2 linked regions of the Callithrix jacchus genome follow. The protein of the gene in region 1 interacts with the protein of each later gene in a pairwise test. Links are inferred from orthologs where the notes say so. Each region holds a gene or a part of one and is shown in the gene's direction. Other genes may lie near its edges. The genes, in order: LDLRAD1 and BNIP3L.

Region 1 (10,222 bases):
ACTGCAGCTTCCACCTCCCAGGTTCAAGCAATTCTCCCACCTCAGCCTCCCAAGCAGCTGGTATTACAGGCATGCGCCACCACGCCCAGCTAATTTTTGTATTTTTAGTAGAGACAGGGTTTCACCATGTTGGCCAGGCTGGTCTTGAGCTCCTGACCTCAAGTGATCCACCCACCTCAGCCTCCCAAAGTGCTGGCATTACAGGTGCAATCCACAGCATCCAGCCTTTCCCTGCTTTAGAAAGAGACGCATCTGAGGTTAAGCAAAAGAGGACTGCAAATCCTCACAGCGGTGAGCCACTGATGGTATTTCAGTTGTCAGGCTGGTGGAAGTCAGTAAGACTGATGGTACTAAATGTCAACAGAGATGTAATCAACAGAAACTCATCCACAACGGAAGGAGTGTGAATCAACTCTGTAGGTCCACAGGCTTGGAGTCAAAATGGACCTGGGTTGAAATCTCGGCTCTGCCGTTTACTCACTGTGTGGCTTTGGGCAAGTTACTTAATCTCTGAACCCAGTTTCCACATCTGTTAACTGGGTGTAATAATATTACTGTGGGAAGTAGAAAACTTCCTCTTCAAAGTTTCCTCTCTTTTTAAAGAATAAATCATAAGTGTCAGCAATAATAATTTGTTTTAAAGACTTTCTTCAAAGCCTTCTTGCTTTTTGCTAATAACTCTTTGTTAAGCCTTATCCTATGTAGCCGTTAGACATGCTCACAGGCACATAGTACATTCTATGTCCTTGTAATTTAACCAAGATGTTTATGCTATTATTTTTCTAAGTCCTTTCACAAGCAACTTCTTGTCCTTTCCTTATTTAGACTTCCTCTTTTCCTTTTGTTCTCCATGGCCTTTACCTACTCAAGAACGTTTTAAGTTAGTAGCCAATCAGGTTCAGGTTTAGACTGTGAAGTCTGGCTCCAGCCAATGGAAATCAGACACAGCAATAAGGACAATCCCAATTGCGTAAAGGATAAATATGTCTGCTTTTTCTTTGTTGATAGTACTCTCATGGCAAGACTGCTGGCCGAGTTACCCTTTCTCCAGTAAGTAAAGATTGCTGAGAGATCCTTTGTCCCAGTGCTGACTTTTCCTTGCAGCACCAAGCATCTGTTTCCAGCAATTACCTATCTTACAGAGTTGTGAGGATCAAGGCAGCTGGTGTAGTGCTTGAAGCATAGCAGCTGATCAATAAGTAATAGCTACCTCCCTTCCATCCATTCCTTCCCCTTGAGAGTGAGACTGTGAACCACAGGGGATATGATTCCAAGACGTTCAGGGATTGAAGCACCAGGGCCTCTCCCTCATCTCACCGGGCCCCCTGCTGCCCTTCCCTCAAGGGTTCTTGGTGGCAGCTTGAACCCTGGAGAGACACAGTGCTTTCAGCACAGTTTTATGTGGCTGTACCTGGATTCAATGGATAAAAAGGCATTTCACAGCCCTGAGGAGTCTTTTTATAAAGGAACACTTAAGAATCAGAGTCAAGGAAGGCCAGAGGCTGAAGGGCATTAATAGGTCCTGGAATGGCAAATGGTCATCATGTCTGATACCTCTCTTCACTCTTCCACCCATGGCAGGCATCTATAGTCAGTCACAGTCCTGACCTCAGAATCCTTCTGAGCTGCATGTTCCAGAGAGCTTTTTCCAATCAATTGTAGTTGGCATGCCAAATAAAATCTAGTTAGTGTCTTTAGCAGGGACCATGGGTGCCTGCCCATGCTTTCAACCCTTTCCATTTCAGGACATAGCAGCCTAATGTGCAGCGGGCAAGCTGCCAACACTGGCATCTCCTTGCCTAAGGCAGCCCAGTGCAAGGAATTAACACCCTCTGGCTAGTCTTCTTTTTTTTTCTTTTGAGACTGAGTTTCGCTCTTGATGCTCAGGCTGGAGTGCAATCTTGGCTCACTGCAACTTCTGCCTCCCAGGTTCAAGCGATTCTCCTGCCTCAGTCTCCTGAGGGATGATGGGCACTGCCACCACGCCTGGCTAATTTTTTGTATTTTTAGTAGAGACAGGGTTTCACCACGTTGGCCAGGCTGGTCTCGAACTCCCAGGTGACCCACCTGCCTGGCCTCCCAAAGTGCTGGGATTACAGGTGTGAGCCACCATGCCTGGCCTCCTCTGGCCATTCTCAACCAAGACTGGCAGGAGCTGGCAGATTAATACCCCAGTTCCCCCCACCTTGAGAGGGATCACTGAGGTGCATCTTTGCCCCTGGCTTCCCCGAGGGCCCCAACAGGGCTGAACTCCACTTGCCCACAGCAGGAACCTGCGTTTAAGGATCCTTCTCTTTCCAGTCTCATTTCCCTCATTCCCCGACCACTGTTTCCTGGGATCACTCCCAGTTAAATCTACTTGCCCTCGAATATTGTCTTAGAGTCTGATTCTGGGGAATCCTAAACTAAAACACCCCCTTCATCTGGTTTATATCTTCATTTTATGGATGAAGGATCGGAGGCACAGGAAGGGGAGTGAATTGCCCAAGTCAGAGCCAGTGGTAGGGCCCTACTGAGAGCCCCGTTCTCCTGGTCTAGGTGTCAGCTCTGCGCAGTGTTACTTGCTGCCTCCCAAGGGCTGCCCCTGCACCTGCCCCTCCTACTTGCACCCACATGGATTCAGCATTTTATTTCCCAAAGCAAAAGAAAAGGCTGATTGCAGGTTGGAAAATCTATGGGCGTCAGAGGCAGGTGAAAGGGGATCCTCCCTAGAACTCTTGAGCTCATTTCTGGAGGTAGCCATCTCTCCTTTCTTGGTCTGGGTCATTGGACTTGGCCCTCAAGCTTCCAGGTTTACTCAGCAGTGGGACAGGCTGCTAGGGAAACCCACTCACTGGGAGCGTAGAAGGGGTTATTCAGGCAAGCAACCAGCCCCCCTCCTCTTCCCTACTTCGGGTGCCACCTCAGGGACAGTAAAAATTCACATTGCCACACTTCTAAAGAAAATAATTTAAAGTTATATTTGCTTTATACTTTTAGCGGAAAGTGCATATTCTTTCAATCTGGATTACCTGTGTTGTTTAACAGAAAGAACAGCAATGAGAAAATGACCCCTGCTTTCTAGCCACTGAAATGTTAATTCCGGGAGTTTCTACCTGCATCTTCATCCCCCTGGAACCAGAGCTCCTCCGGTTCTCTCGCTGATGCGGAGGAAAAAGCACTCTTGAAAAGTTTCTGGGTTTCACCCCTCCCACCTACTGTGCGACCTGGGGCAGTTTCTCCCTTTCTGAACCTCTGGCTCTTCATCTGTGGATGGGGATGAGGATTCCAGCCTCGCAGTGTTGCTGTCAGACGGCAGAGAAGGAAACAGCCTGGCCAGAGCAGGGCCCTCTTGCCCTTGCCTCTGCTTGGAAGGCAGCTGGGAGGGAGGGGGCTGCCCACAGGGAGGGTGTGGCCCAGGCAAAGCTCCTGCCTGTCCCTCCTCCAGGCTGCCCCTGGTGACAAGGCAGGGAACCCATGCTGAGCTCTCTGCACACAGCCCCAGTCAGGGAGCTGAAAGCCGAAGACATGAACAAGGTCTTCCCCGAGGTAAGGGCTGCCTGGACCAGGCTCCTGATCTTGGGAGAGCAAACCTTGGGATGAGGAGTGTGGGCAGTAGAGAGTGGGCATACATGGGAGACATGGAGGAAAATCAGCCCCCGTCCTGGCCCGGGGCTCACTCCCAGGGTGTAGGGGGCCCTACCAGTGACCCAGCTGTAGAGTCCAGGTGGCAAGTGCTGGGACGGACACAGAGGAGCCGGGTGGACAGGAAGGGAGAGCGTTAGCTTTACTGGGTATCAGGGAAAGCTTCACCGAGGAGTCGCTGCCCACGCCAGTTTGAAGGATGAATATTTGCCAGGTGGACAGCAGAGGAAAAGGCGCCCCAGACAGAGGGCCCAGTGCAGGCAAAGGTGTGGAAATGGGAAGCCGGCATGAGGCATCTGGGGCGTTGAGCGTGCTGGGGTGTGAGGGAGCCACGGTGCCACCGAAGACTCTCGGTGACCCCTTCTGAAAGCCCTGCTGTCTGCCTCCCTGAGGCTGGACCTCACCTCACCTAAGCCCACCCCTCACTCTGTTCTCTTGGGCAGGGAGAGAATGGCCGCATTGCTGCTGGACCCAAGGCCCTCCCTGGAGGGGAAGGTAAAGAACTGAAGGGCCCAGGGCCAGTGCCCTGTGGGGCTCCCTTGAAGCTGGCAGTTGGCTATAGAGGCATGAGGAAGGTTGGAGGATTCCAGGCTCCCGCTGCCCCTCAGACCTCTGCCCCATGTTAATGTTGTCTGCTCCCAGCTTCCTGGTCAGATGCTGACAGTCACTTGCTTAATAGGGTTATTCATTCTCTCCATGCACACATATTTATTAAGCACCTACTGTGTGCTGCCGACCTCACAGGCACCAAACTGCATTCAGTGCCCACCTGTAATACAGCATCAAACTGACTCAGTGGGTGACCTGGACAATTCTCTTTACCTCTGAGACACATTTATTTAGCCCTACTATGTGCCGCTGGCCCACAGTGTGACCAGAACAGTTCTCTTTACCCTTCTGAAGATAGAAGGAAGAAACAGACATGTATTGAGCATTGTATATGCCCTGGCGTGGCCCACATTTGATCAATGAGGAGACACACCCAGAGAGGTAGATGAAAATACCAACTATAAAGGACCCAGTACAGTTATGTGCCTGGCACTGCATGGCCCCTTTAATCCCCAGGACAGCTCTGAGACAGGGGCTCTGTCATGGGGCAATCACAGATAAGGCAGCTGAAACTAAGAGAAGTTGGGTAACCAGGCCAAGGTCATACAGCGGGGAGGCCGGAGGGCCAGGGTTCAAATGTGAACTGAGGTCTCTCTGGTTACAAAGCCCCAGGGCTTTTGTTGCCGCATACCGGTGTTTGTTTTTTTCCAAGTCCTGACTCATGACGGGTGTGGTTGTGGCAAGAATAGCCTCCTTTTCCTCATCTGTGCAGGGAAGGGACTGGCACCTAAGGGCTTTCTGGCTTTGAAGCGCAACAGCTTCACCTGGGCAGGAGCCTTGGTTCTGCCGGTTCTCCCGTGGCAACATCTTGCACGTGGTCTGTGCTGCACAAATATTTGAGGAGCTGCTTGGCTGACCAGCACACCTCTCCCTGCCCAGAGTCACGCTGCCTCCCTGGTTACCTGAGTTTACCCTGTTTGCTGACGGCCACAGAGCCACCAGCTAGGGCTGTAGGGATGACGGGGTTTTAGATTCCTGCTGCCTTGAATACCATCGTATCCCTCCCAGCGCACATCCATCCTGGAGCCCCGCCACGCCAGGCCACTTGTGCTCCCCCACCTGCAACCACCAGACCTTTCCACTTGCCACGCCCTCTGCCTGGAAGCCCCTTTCTTTGCACCATTCCCTTACCTGCCTGTGGAAATCCCACCCGGCTTCTGAGGACCCTGCATCAGAAATGTGAATGGATTGAAAATAACTGACCCATAGTGGGGGCCTTCCCTTGTCTCCTGGACCCCTGGGCTAGCATATTCACAGAGTGTTCACAAATCTCTGGGCCTGGCACGGTGGCTCACACCGGTAATCCCAGCACTTTGGGAGGCCAAGGTAGGTGACCACCTGAGGTCAGGAGTTGGAGACCAGCCTAGCCAACAGGGTGAAACCCCATCTCTACTGAAAATACAAAACTTGGCCAGATGTGGTGGCAGCCACCTGTTATCCCAGCTACTTGGGGGGCTGAGGCAAGAGAATCTCCTGAACCTGGGAGGCAGAGGTTGCAGTGAGCCGAGATCATGCCACCGCATTTCAGCCTGAGCAATAGAACGAGACTCCATCTCAAAAAAAAAGAACCCCCCCGCAAAAAAAAAGCTCCCACCATGTGCCTGGCTCTGGGCTGGGTCCTGGGGTCACAGGGTGAATCATACCTGCCCCTGCCCCTTTCTCTGAGGTACCTGTGGCCTGGGCAGGTCAGTAGCTCCCACGCTCCTTCAGACATGTCCATGCTTTGCCTTCTAAGTGCAATAACAAGCTGCAGAGGGCAAGGACCAGAGCTGGAGCCACACAGCGGGGCACCAGGAGGTCCTTAGTAAAGGCTTCTGTTATTATTTTGTAAGCAGGAGAGAATTAAAGTACAGTTTTACAAGAGCAGGGACATCCCCTATCACTGTGATTTCCAGTGCTTAGAATAAAGCTTGGCACGTGGCAAGTCCTCAACAAGCAATAACAGCCCAGACACAGCAGTGCGCAGCTGTTACAGGACTTTGGGAGGCCGAGGCAGGAGGACTGTTTGAGCCCAGGACTTAGAGTGTGCAGTGAACTATGATTGCACCACTGCATTCCAGCCTGGGCAACAGAGCCGGACCCTATCTCTAAAATTAAAAAAAAATTTTTTTAAGCAATAATAATAGCTCATATTCATCATTTACTATGTGCCAAGCACTGTTCTAACACATTAACTCAACAAATTCTAATCCTTTCAGCAAACTTTAAGGTAGCTATTACGGTCCCCATTTCCCACATGAAGCAACTGAAGTGCAGAGAAGTGAAGTGACTTACTCAGTGTGGCTCAGGTAGGAACTGGTGGAACTGGGATTCCAACCTGCATCCCAGCAGACTCCAGAACGGACAGTCAGTGGGGATTGTGGAAAGGGCATGCGTTGTGGCATCACACAGGTGTGGATTCACATGCCAGCTCCACCCTGGGTTACCTGAACCTTTTCTTTTCTGAGCCCCAGTTTCCTCATAGATCAAATAAAAGGTTGTTTTGAAAAATAAAGACCACAGTTATGAAGGGCCTGATGGAGCGTCTGCCCCGTGGTGGGGGCTGGACATGCAGGCGTCCATCTCTCCCTGCGTCCTGAGGAGGTCTCCTGATGGCGAGTGGGCGGGGAGAGCTGTCCACCTCTGCCATTCAGTTAGCTGTGGGCATCTGGCCAGGGTGGCACCTAGTGGGGTGGGCCCACAGGCAGAACAAAGAGCATCAAGCGGGGCTTGGGAGCTGCTCCTCCAGGGAAGCCCTCCCAGCTCTGCTCACCCTGGTGGGGGAAGGGCTGCTCACAGGGGCAGGACAGGGAGGGGGTTCACTGTTCCCAGTTCTGGCCCCCCCATCACGACCCCCCCCCCGGGCTTGTTTCCCTCCCTGTTCCCCGCAGCAGGCTGCGGCCCCCTCTGCTGCTCGCGCCGCGGGGCCTGCCTCTCTGCCTTTCTGCTGCTCCTCCTGGCAACTCTGGCCGCCCTCATCGCCTTGGTCACCACACTCGGACTCCCATCACGAACCCCAGGTCAGAGCGGCCAAGAGAGGGTGGGTCAGACCCAGCAGGGAGGATATGGGGGACACAGAGAGACCTGCCTGGCTTCTCCACCAGGTGACTTATGACAAATTCCTTAAGGTGCATGCACAGACAACACAGATACCTGCACACTGACTATGCCGATCTCTTAGCCTCCATCTGCACATCTGTGACATGATTATTGAGAGGACCCAGCTCTGATGTCACCTCCTCCAGGATGCCTTCCTGGACCCCCAGGCTGGGTTAGGAACCTCTTCTCAGCCCCACAGTCCCTACACTTCCCCATCATCCCCTGGCCTGGCCATCCCGGGTGGGGCTATCCATCTGTGGGTTCATTTTCACCACAGGGAGACAGGGTCACCTCCCACACATGCCTGCAGCCCCAGCTCCGGGGTGAAAGATCGGGACACAGTGCCTGCCCTCATGGAGCTAACTCTTTGGAGAGCAATCTAGACATGAATACATGTTACAGCAGGGTTCTGGGAGCCCTGAGAGTCTAGCCCCATCAAGGAGTCAGGATAGGCACAATGGGTACTAGTTGTAGGGGGATGCCAGGAAAAGCATCCCAGGCACAGGGAATGCATGTGTGGAGCCCTAAGGGGTGGGAGGAGCAGGAGGAGAAGGAGGGACTGCAAGAGGCCAGCGAACAGGAAGGGCTGGAGTGACAAGTGGGGCCGGGTGCCAAGGGCCTCACAGGCTGCACCAGGAAGCGAGGTCACAGTCCAGGAGCCACAGAAAGGGGAGGAAGGCGGGGACAAGTGTCACCAGGTGAATCTTTCTGAAGGATGGCTCTGCCGCTGGGCAGGGTGGGTTAGAGGGCTGAGGTGGGGGCTGAGATTCACAGTGCTCTACCTGCTGGTGCAGGAACACAGGCCCTGAACTGGATGCGAATGCATGAGCAGCTGCGGTCCTGAGTTTGTGTGTGCACTCTGTGTGTTTAGCATGTCTGTGAGTAGATGCAGGTGTCTGTGTATGGATGTTCGTGTCTATGTGAGAGTGTGTGTGTCGGTGTGTGTGTGCATATCTGCTGTCTGTGTATCTGTGAGTGTGCATGTAGGTGCAGCTGTCTGTGTGCGAGCATGTGTGCATGTGTGTGCATCTGTGTGTGTCTGTGTCAACATGAGTGCCCCTGGGAGTTGCCCCCTTCACACACACACACGCACACTAGCTGAGGCAGCCCAGGGGCTGAGATGTGATTCACACATGCGCAAACACAAATGCGCAAACCAACTTCCAACCCCAATTATGCACACGTATACAGATGCGGGGCCAAGGTGTTCCCCCACCCCTAACTTGTCTGCAGGGTTTTTCTTTCTTTCTTTCTTTTTTTTTTTTTTTTTGAGATGGGGTCTTGCTTTGTTGCCCAGGCTGGAGTGATATGGCACAATCTCAGATCGCTGCAACCTCTGCTTCAAGGGTTCAAGTGATTCTCCTGCCTCAGCCTCCCGAGTAGCTAGGACTACAGGCATGCACCACCATGCCCAGCTAATTTTGTATTTTTAGTAGAGATGGGGTTTGTCCATGTTGGTCAGGCTGGTCTCAAACTCCCGACCTGAGGTGATCTGCCCACCTTGGCCTCCCAAAGTGCCGGGATTACAGGCGTGAGCCACAACACCCGGCCAGTTTTCTGTCTTTTCATTCCTTGGGGCAGTCCTAAGAGTGGGTATTCCTTTCCTGCTCCCATATTGGCGGGGGGGGGGGGGTGCTAATGAGAACGTGGTCTCAGGGGTGTTTGGGGAACTATAGAATAAAGATGTGGAAGTGCTCTGCAGATGTGCCCAGATAGAAGGAGTGGTGACGTATGGTCCTCCAGCCAGCCCAAATATAGTTCTTCTGACACTAACCTGGTGCCAGAGCCTCCGCCATTAAAACCACATCACTGAATGGAACATTGTCCTCAGAAGCTTCCTGTGACACTGCATAGAAGTTTTCAGTAAAGGAGAGAACTATTCCTCTCCGCCCACCCCCACTTCCTGAGAACCATTACTTGTTGTGCACATTTCCTGTTCTATGTTTCTTCACAGGGATGCTTTGATTTATTCCCCACAACAGTCACTCAGTGTGTGTGCTATGATCCCCACGTTGCAGTCAACCTGAGTTGTCAGGTCACCTGCCCAAGGTCGGGCAAAGGGCGGGGCTAGAGCTGGGGCTTGAACCCCATTGACGGTGCTGGGTCCATCCTCCCCACTGCCCGGCCCCTCAGGCCAGCTCCACGTGCACCTCAGGTGAGGAAGGTTTGTCCTTGTGAGCACCACCCTTGACCCTCCAGGGCCTTCCCCTGCCCATTCAGGAGCCCAAGCTTGTACAACACTGACAAACAGGACGGGCTTCTTGTGCCGTGACCAGAGGAGCTGCATTCCAGCCAGTGGGGTCTGTGATGGCGTTCGCACCTGTACCCATGGTGAGGATGAAGATGAGAGCTTGTGCCGTGAGTACCCACTCGGTGCTACCCCTCCCAAGGGTTCCGCCACACTCCAATTCTCTCTGCAGCCGTACTGAAGCTCAGCCATCCCTGATCACACCAGGTACCTTCATGACCCCATGCCTTTGATTCTCCAGGGCCTTCAACCAGGAACGCCTGCTCCCACCTGGTCCCAGTCAGGGACACACATCCATGGCCCCACTAAGGAATACCTTCACCCTGTGCATCTCCATTCCCAGAAAACCCATGTTCATCCCTCAATGCAGAGTTCAAGTGTTACCTCCTCCAGGAAGCCTTCCCTGACTCCCACACTAGGTTAAAGTGTCTCCTTTGGGCTTCCACAGTCCCTGTGGTTCCCTGTGTCCCAGCACAAGTCACACTGGTTATTGCTCTTGATTGGCACATCTGCTGCTCCCATCAGTCTGTGAACTCCTCTGAGGCAGGCCCACTCCGCTTGACATCAGGGCCTCAGTGCCTAGCACAGAGGGGTATCCAGAATGGCTTGCGGAATGAATGAGTGAATGAGTGAATGAATGGGAAGTTCTGGCCCCAGACCTTA
Region 2 (9,448 bases), on another chromosome or scaffold:
GCATGGGATATCAAAATATTGCTTTGGGAAATCTGCTAGGTAGTATTTTATGTGAGATAGGGTGAGCTTCCTGAAAAGCTTTTAGATAATGCCGTATTTAATTACTCCCTTCCTGCCTCTTACTCTGTTCGTTTTTTTAGCTCATTACACAATACTGGACTGAAGAAAACAAGAGGCCTCATTGATTCCTTGAAGTGATTTTTGGGTACTGGGCAAAACAACTTGGGCATCTAGTACTGTCCAAATTGCTGATAAGTCGAAGTATTTTGTTGGGTAAAGTTGCACAACTGAAAACAGGAGATGAAATGTACAGATTATCTTGGGTTTGGGATTGTATCTTTGGTTCAGGGGTCAAAGCAGAGTTTCAATAGCAAATTATTGAAATATTTGAATAGTGAAGTATTTCTGTGATTTTTTTTTTATAAGTTTACCGTTATGAAGAGACTGTTCACTTTCATTACAAATTACAGGGCAGATACCCAAACTCTTGCCAAGTCAAAAGGTTGTTGTCCAGTTTGTTTTATTAAGAATTCTTAACTGTTTAAAAAAAAAAAAAGAATTATTAACTGTTAACTTCCTTAAGAGTATTTGAATAAGATTCAGTGAGTAAGGAAAATCAAAGCAGTAGTATAATTCTTGTTGAGACATATAGCCTTTTTTTCTTTCCTTGTTTTTATTTTTATTTTTGAGATAGAGTCTTGCTCTGTCACCCAGGCTGGAATGCAGTGATGCAGTCATAGCTGATTGCAGCTTCTACTACCTGGGCTCAAGTGAGCAGGTAGCGAGGAGTATAGGTGCACGCCCCCACACCCAGCTAATTATTTTATTTCTTGTAGAGATGGAGTTTCACTTTGTTGGCCAGGTTGGTCACTGGCTAACTTATTTTTTGTAGAGATTGAGTTTTGCTTTGTTGCCCAGGCTGGTCACAAACTCTTTTTTTCTTTTTTTAAATAAATCTTCAACCATCATGTGCCTGCTTTCCTGTTATCAAGAGTACTCTTAAGGCCTTCATGAAGTGTCCCTGCCTCGTAACAATGTTTTGAATACCTATGTAACTTGTGTGTAAATACTTCTACAAAAAGACCAACATTTTTTTTTTTTTTAGAAGAATGTCAGTGACTCTTGTTGGCCTGGTCTGGATTCCTTTCAATAATGAATGAAAGGCTTTGAGGAAAGAATGTAAATATAATGAAATATGAAAAGAGTTCTATGTGGGCCTTGAAAAGTTAGGGGGGAAATTGAGGAGAAAAACTCTTCATTTTCTCCTCCTCGTGTCCCAAAGCTCCTCTCCTCCCCTTATTGCAAGAGGACTGAACTAGTGATTATAAAACTGTAAAGATGATGCAACATACATTAATGAATGTAATCACAATTACTAAACCACCCTTCACAATCTGTTACGTTAGAGAATGGAGAAGCATTCTCTTAGTCATTCCCTAAAACCCAAACCAGAAAATATCTCATGCCACTGCATATTTTGTGCAAATTAGCATAAGGAACGGCTCTTACTTCGTTTGTAAAGTCTAAATCATAGAGAAGCTTCCAGCTTTTAGTCTTCAAGCTTGATTGTTAGGAAGGGAATTCACTCTGTGGTTTTCTACTTTGTATCGCTTGGACAGCACAAACCTCTTATCTAGCATTGCTTCCTTTCCAAGTAAAACTGGACTTTGTGAGGGTTGGTAGAGTTAGAACACTAAGAAGTTCTGAGTTTGTAAATCAGGAACGAATCAGGTGATGAGACAAAGACATGTTGTTCATCTGTTTTGCTCTTCTGTGTATTACTCAAAAGATTAATATGTAGCCTCTCAATGCCTATGCACATAACTTTCTCTGCACTATGTATTTCCATAGATGATATTTTTGGAAGCAAATTACCGAGTTAAAGGAAATTACCCTTTTAAGGCTCTTAATACCTATTGTCAAATTATTCTCCAGAATGTTCACTGAAGCGCTGCTTGTAACAACAAAGTATTAGAAACAAGCATCTGAGTAGGGGTGACCATTGCCATTTAGATAATGGTGAAAGGACGGTATATCCTCATCAAAGGTGAGATGCAGTGCCGTTGTTCAGAAGAATTAATGTCAGTGTGTACTGATAGGGAAGACATCTGAAAAACGACTTACAGATTATGTAAGTACGTGTGTATGGTACAGTTTCATTTCTTTATGAAAACAGACATGTTTCATTGAAAAAAAAATCAAAATCTCCATGTGAAACTCAAAAGTGACTCCTTTGGGTGTAGGAATGGGAGGTGAGGAGAAACGGTGATTGTAAATTTTAGGTGCTGATTGTTTACATTTTCTAAGAACATATGTTTGCAGTAAGGAACGGTTTTGATATGATACAGAATATAATTATAGTAGCTAAAACTTTCCTAGGGAGCTTTCTTACTGTTCTGCATGCTTTATTCATGTAATCCTCCTAACAAAGTCTTCGAGGTAGATACAGTTATCTGTTTTATAGATGGGGAAAGTGAGGCTATAAGTACCCTGTGCAAGGGTGACAGCTTTGACTGAGAGTGGAAGCCTGGCTTCAGTTCTGCCCCTGACCACAGTAGACCAGTATATGGCAAGTACAAATTGTCTGTCTTAAGTAGAAATGCTTTCAGTTACACCACAGGGTGTGGAGGCCACAGCAGAGATCACTTTTACTGAGCTTTTCTAGGTATGTCTCTTTGTTCGGGTTTCTAAAGTATATTTTAGATTATGATTGCTTATGCATTTTTAATGAAGAAAATAGAATCCAGGCATTGATTTGAAAGTCCTTCATAAAAGTAAAAACCAGGCTGGGAGTGGCTCATAATCTGTAACCCCAGCACTTTGGGAGGCTGAGGTGGGAGGATTGCTGAAGTCTGGGAGTTTGAGACCAACCTGGGCAATGTAGGAAGACCCCATCTCTACCAAAAAAATAAATAAATAAATTAGCGGGGCGTGGTTGCATGTGCCCTATAGTCCCAGCTTCTTGGGAGGCTGAGGTAGGAGGCTTGCTTGAGCCCAGGAGTCAGGCTGTGGTGAGCTGCGATTGTGCCACTGTACTTCCAGCCTGGGTGACAATGCAAGACTGTCTCAAAAAAAAGTAAGGACCGGAAAACCTGATATTTTTTGTTACACCCTTATTTCTCTTTGATCATCTACTTCAAATGAGTATTTATTGTATATTAGGGAAGACTGGCTTCCACAGAGACCCATCTGGAACTCCTGGTTCCTTAGCTCTGCTTCTGGTTTGTTTTATTGTTTGCATTGGGCTTCTACACAAGAAGAATTGCTCCCATTGGTTTAAAAATAAGTTTGAAAATCCTAGAAGCAGTAGGAGTCAGAAAAAAACTGTTTTTCATATACATATTCTCTCCCCCACCTCCTTTCTCTCCAGCTGAAATATTTTGCAGAGCTCTAAATTTAGGGATGCTTTTGGCATATTTCTTATACACTCCAGAGGCACTCGAGTGAGTTCAATTATCTTCAGTGTTAGATTTCTCTTAGCTTTGCTAGTTTTAATTGCTGATCCATTTCGAGTTCTCTCTAGTCTATGTCCATTTTATGTGTGTATAGAATGAGGCCACAGAGATGTTGTAGAACTGTGTCCTTTGGCAGCAGAGTCCTAAGGAATTGGTGGTGATTATGGGATATTGGTGCCACTGGGGCTGCCTCAGATGGAAAGCAAAGGGTTCTAAGTATTTATAAATGTAAATTCTACTGTATAACTGAGTATCTTCCATTTACCAGCACTTGATACTACTAAATCCTCACAGCAACCCTGTGTTATTATTATCTCTGTTTTGTAAATGAGGAGGCTGAAACTGAGGTCACACAGGTAGACAGGAAGCAATGGGTTCAGATTCCCAGCCAGGTCTGCCTGCGAGCTTTCCTTCTTGTGAGGGCGATGTTGAGTTCATTCGGGATCTGGTGTAGCCATCACCACATTTAGCGTGCGTTTTGGAGTTTGAGCCAGTTTTGATGATTGCTTCATCTTACTGACAGAAATCCTTATTTATCCCTGGAACTCTTTCTAATGCTTCTGCTGGGAGTTTAGAGAGGTGGCCCCACCAAGCTGCTTGGTTACATTTTCTAAAACAAAATTTATCATAAGCAATGGAGGCTGGGCACGGTGGCTCACGCCTGTAATCCCAGCATTTTGGGAAGCCAAGGTGAGCAGAACATGAGGTCAGGAGTTCAAGATCAGCCTGGTCAACATGGTGAAAGCCCATCTCTACTAAAAATACAAAAATTAGCTAGACATCGTGGTGCATGCCTGTCATCCCAGCTACTTGTGGGGCTGAGGTCAGGAGAATTGCTTGAACGAAGACTCAGAGGCAGAGATTGCAGTGAGCGGAGATCGCACCACTGCACTCTAGCCTGGGCTACAGAGCCAGACTCCGTCTCAAAAAAAAAAAAAAAAAAGGAAAAGATTAACAAAATATACCACTATCTCTTTTTGCTGTGAAGTTACTTTATTGGCTACTGTTAACAATTATTTCAATTCTTTTACTTATTTTCTTACTGTTCTTTTGTAGAGACAAGGTCTTGCCATGTTGCCAAGGCTGGTGTAAAACTCCCGCACTTGAGCAATCCTGGTGCCTTAGCCTCCCAGAGTGCTGGGATTACCTGTGTGAACCACTGTCCCTGGCCTCAACTCTTATTAAAATTAAAACACCTTAATACTTTTAGCAGACTTACTGGGCCAATATTTTCAAGACCTATGCAGAATTACCAGTGCCACATCCCCTTTTTCTGTGGCTCCACCCCTTCAACTTTTTGCCCAAGAAAACATTCGTGTTTGCGTGTAGCTAATGTGCAGTTGTTTCTGCCCCCAAATCAACAGGGCTTAACGAAAACTCTAGAAAGTAGGAACTCGTGGGAGAGAAGAGAAAAAAGACAAGTTCACAAGGTATGTTTAGTGTATAAAAAAGGAGAAAGACTTCTAGCAGTGATATAAAGGAAATGAAGAAACGAATCAGTGAGATAGAGCTAAAGCTTTTTTCTGAATTTTTCGCATTATCACCTGGTTTTGTTAACCAGCTGCCTTAATTTTATGCTCCTGATTTGTGCACAAATTGAAATGTTTGCTACTGGATTTAAGTTCCCTCTCTAGGAGTTTCTCCGTTGTTTGCACTAAGGAGGATATAGTTGCTAACTTACTTAGATAACCTTTTATGAAATTTCTAATTGATAATACTTACTGTTTCATTTACGAATCAGATAAAGCTGAGTAGCTTAGGTAGACTATGAAGAAAGTGTCTCTCTGTGCGTATATCTATACACCAGCTGAAATATTAAAGGTAAGTAGCCTGTCTAGTAAAAAAGTAGCTATTTTTTTTTTAAAAGCAACCTCAGAGTTTTCAGTAAAGTGTTATTATAAACTAAGGTTTAACAAAAGAGAAAATTGGCTGAAAAACACATTTTCCAAGATGTTTTAGAGTTCCCGTTTCTTCTCAGCTGATGGCATGAGCTATTTCAGGAACAGAACTTAATAGATGTTTAGACTTTTATTACTCTTTCTTTTCTTCAGAATACTTTTGCATTTCGTTTGAGGAGAGTCAGAATTCTTATCTGGATTCACCATATTCACATCTGTGTGCACATGACAGATTTCAGTTCTGCTGTGGTTAACTTATCTGACTTGTCCAACAGGTTCCTGGGTGGAGCTACCCATGAATAGCAGCAATGGCAATGATAATGGCAATGGGAAAAATGGGGGGCTAGAACATGTGCCTTCCTCATCCTCCATTCACAATGGAGACATGGAGAAGATTCTTTTGGATGCACAACATGAATCAGGACAGAGTAGTTCAAGAGGCAGCTCTCACTGTGACAGGTAAGTGAGATCCGTGTTTTGGTGGAATTCAGGACACGGGTGGGTTACAGGGCTCATTATCTCTAGGAAAAATTTATTTGCTTAAATCTTCACTTAGCAAAAATGCCTCCTGATATATTGCAGTGTAATATATATTCCACAGATACATAGATTGTGTTTATATCAGACAGCTAATTGACAGGTGTTCCAGTGCCCCCTGTTTTCTCCAGATTGTCACTTTTTTTAATCAGATTACATTATTTTTAGCAGTTTATCAGTTTAAAATTCAGTGGCATAAATGCTACTTCATAGAATTAATCTTTCTCCCATTTTCCTTTGAGTCCCTCTTTTACAGATCACAGACTGCCTTGAATTAGTTACCTCTGTGTATATCTGTCTTCCCTTCTAGATCTTGAGGCTTCAAAGGGCAGGGACCATGTTTCATCTTTATTAGCTTCACGGTAATGGTGCTGGCACATAATAGACACTAAGTAAATGTTTGACCCATAGGAACTGCAGGTTGATTCACATTATAGCAATATTTGCACAGTTGGAAGCGCCAGCCAAGGTCTGTAAAGGTAGTTTTGAAGGCCCTTCTCCTTTCTCAGAGATGTTTTGTTTCAGACCGTTTTTCTGTATTTGACCCGAGGAAGCTCATTCCATGGATTAAAGACTGCTTATAGTGAAAGAGTAAGATTACAGTGAGATATATGTGTTGGAATGAAACCAGGTTATTATTTTTTAGTGTAAGCTTTTCTTTTTTTCCAGAGGGGCTGAATATTCAGTGACATTTACAAAATTCTTGTTTCAATGACAGCTACACTGTTAGCATTATAGGGCACCGGCTGACCTTCTGAGTAGCTGTTAGCTGATGTTAACCATACAGCAAACGCACAGGAAGCAGATTAAGGAAATGCTGAGGAATGTAAACAGTGCTTATCTTTAGGGATGCAGGATGGATATTTTTCTTCTTAACATTTTTGTATTTGGTAAAAATTGTGTATATTGCACATATTATTACTTACCAGAAGAAGCGAAAAGGAGAAATCAGTTAAATTATATTCCAGCTTCCCGAGGGACTTATGATCCACTAATGTTGCCAAGGCAGCCGGGGGACTGGTTTGCTGGCTCTGTGGCACACTATGCACCCCCGCCACCCCCGTGTCATCCCTGACTTGTCCCTGTGCTTCTTAGAGCCTGGGATGGCTCTTGTCATAAGCAGAACACAGCAGATGGCTCTCTTCTGAACAGCTTGCCCTTGATTCCAGTAGCTACAGCATTAAGTCTGTCTTTCCGAATGAAGATACATGTTTATATTATGGAACTTGCCGATGGGTGTCTGAAGTTTTCTGCTTGTTAATGGCCTGTCAGCAAGGCTTTCACTCTGCATTCCAGTGCATGGGCCTTGATCATTGACACCACGGTGTCCATTAGCCTGTTGTTAACATGGTGGTGTCATCGAGCAAAGAAAAGTCACCTGCTTACCTGTCTGTTCATCCTGTTACATGTGATTGAATATGACTTCACCCTCCCATGATCGTGTTTAAGTTGTGAAAGCATGTGAAAAGGAGGCATGGCAAGTGCTTTTGAACACTTCCTACCCCTCATCTTATGTATCTCCGGGCCCTAGATTAGTGGTTGTCTTTCAGAGAATGCCTAGAACTCTAGTGTGCAGCAGCACTCTCCTGGGATGTCTGACTCACACGCTTTACCATTGAAGAGTGTCTCAGAAATCATGTCATTTGAATTGCCATGCGTCTCTGTATTTGAAGTCATTGGGAAGTGTTTCTTGTTGCGGGGAAGGTTTTAGGGTTGTTGGATATCAGTCCTAGAGCTGATTTATGAGTCTTTTCTACTGCAAAATTATTCCATAGAAATATTTGTGTGGCTGCAGGGGTTGTTAGCTGGGAACCCAGTGTGTTCTGCTTCGCGTTCCACCCTGTCGCAGGCATTTTCGCCTTGAGGGCATCCTAGATTCACACAGGGAGCTTTTAAAAGTGCCAGCACATGGACTGCATCTCAAGAATTTCTCATTTTGGTTGCCAGGGCAGGGTAGAGACATCACAATATTTTAAAACTCCCCAGCCGATTCTAATATGTGTCATGGGTGAAGCTCTAATGCATTCCAAATTATTTCAGGAGGAATAAACAGTTTAGAGAAAAGGCTGGTGCCAGCATGAAGAAGCATGCAGAAGCAGAGCAGTGCTTCCACAGGATTCCTGACTTTGTCACCCTGCCTGCCTTGACCTGGTCGAGGCTATGTAAGGCTGACCCTTAACTTGATGTGTAGCTGTGAAGCTAATGGTGTTAGGATCACAAAGATAGTAAACTGAGGCCAGTAGAAGTGCCCAGTTCTGGTTGACTCCTGTGCTAGTTCAAGACAGAAATTTCCTAAACATATATGATGTTTATACAGAACGAGCTTTTCCCTTTTAAGAATCCCCTGTGTCAATTATACCATTCGAAAAAACTCCTAGGCCTAATTTGTCTGATAAATTTCTGATGATCTTACTTATTTCTGAGTCAGTCTCACCAGCATCTCTATACATTAATTAACATTGTATACATACATATTCTTGGTAACTTTAATAGTTAATATCTATTCCTTTCAGCAAGTTAAACCCCAAATATTTTTTATTTCTCTTTTAGATTTTGGGGGGAGGGTATGTGTATGTAGTGAGGGATCCAGTGACTTTCAGTGGCTACACAAGGAATCATTGATAAAGCTAAGAAATTAACTTAACACATTCTGTTCGTCTCTTATATCAAGTACAGTTTGTGATTATGTGGTTTTTGTCTAAAAACTTATCTGTAAATTTTTATAGTTCTAAAAATATATTTTGTACAATCAGAAAGATTGTATATTCAAATATAAGCTTATATAATTCAGTCTCAAATAAAGCAAATATTTCTGAAATAAGTAAAATAGTGGTTATCAAAGTTGTTGGTCTTTATATACTTTTACATTCTTAAAAATAATTAGGGACCCCAAAGGACTTGCTTGTGGGTTTATATATTTTGATATTTACTATATTAGAAACTAACACTGAGAAAGTACATATTCAAAAATAATACATTCTAACATAGATAAGCTTTTTTAGTGAAAATAACTATCTTCTATAAGTCCCCCCAAGTTAATAAGAATAGTGGCATTGTTTTACACGTTTACAAATCTCTAATACCAAGCCTATTAGAGAACAACCGGCTCTCATCCGCTTCTGCGTTCTACCTGTTGTACTATCACATACTGTATAGCCTTCGGAAAATTCCATTAGACACTCATGGGAGAATGAGAATGAAAAAGGCAAACAAATCCTACTAGTATTACAAAAGGAACTCTAACCTCGAAAACCCTCTGAAAACATCTTTGAGAACTACCTTATGCACTGTGAAAACTACGGGTGGTGAATTATTTAATAAGAGAACTTTGAGAAAAGGAACTCTAAAATTCCCGAATTTGAAGATTATTTTACCTTTAATGGACCAAAGAGTAGATATAAGAAAATGTGACAGTTTGTGTCTGTAAGTAGTATTTCCTTTGCACATTTATCATTTTGAAGGAATTCATTACTACTGAAAAAGGACAGAACATTCTAGGTGTAAAATGCTCAATTTCATTTGGCCCTTTAATGTTTCATAAAATTTTCTTGTATGGGG

What was found.
Region 2: the proteins of LDLRAD1 (region 1) and BNIP3L interact in binary tests that used the Homo sapiens proteins (3 or more experiments, as listed by UniProt). The two-hybrid records come from large-scale screens. The link is inferred for Callithrix jacchus from reciprocal best matches to the Homo sapiens genes LDLRAD1 and BNIP3L.

Annotation. Positions count from the first base shown.
Region 1 is NC_133508.1:91,202,301-91,212,522, reverse strand, and holds the start of LDLRAD1 (low-density lipoprotein receptor class A domain-containing protein 1), read left to right. Parts: upstream 1-3,470; 5' UTR 3,471-3,507; coding exon 3,508-3,528; intron 3,529-4,067; coding exon 4,068-4,119; intron 4,120-7,103; coding exon 7,104-7,232; intron 7,233-9,531; coding exon 9,532-9,669; intron 9,670-10,222.
Region 2 is NC_133514.1:15,166,938-15,176,385, reverse strand, and holds part of BNIP3L (BCL2/adenovirus E1B 19 kDa protein-interacting protein 3-like), read left to right. Parts: intron 1-1,935; exon of another isoform or gene 1,936-2,131; intron 2,132-2,464; exon of another isoform or gene 2,465-2,569; intron 2,570-4,819; exon of another isoform or gene 4,820-4,885; intron 4,886-5,628; coding exon 5,629-5,812; intron 5,813-9,448.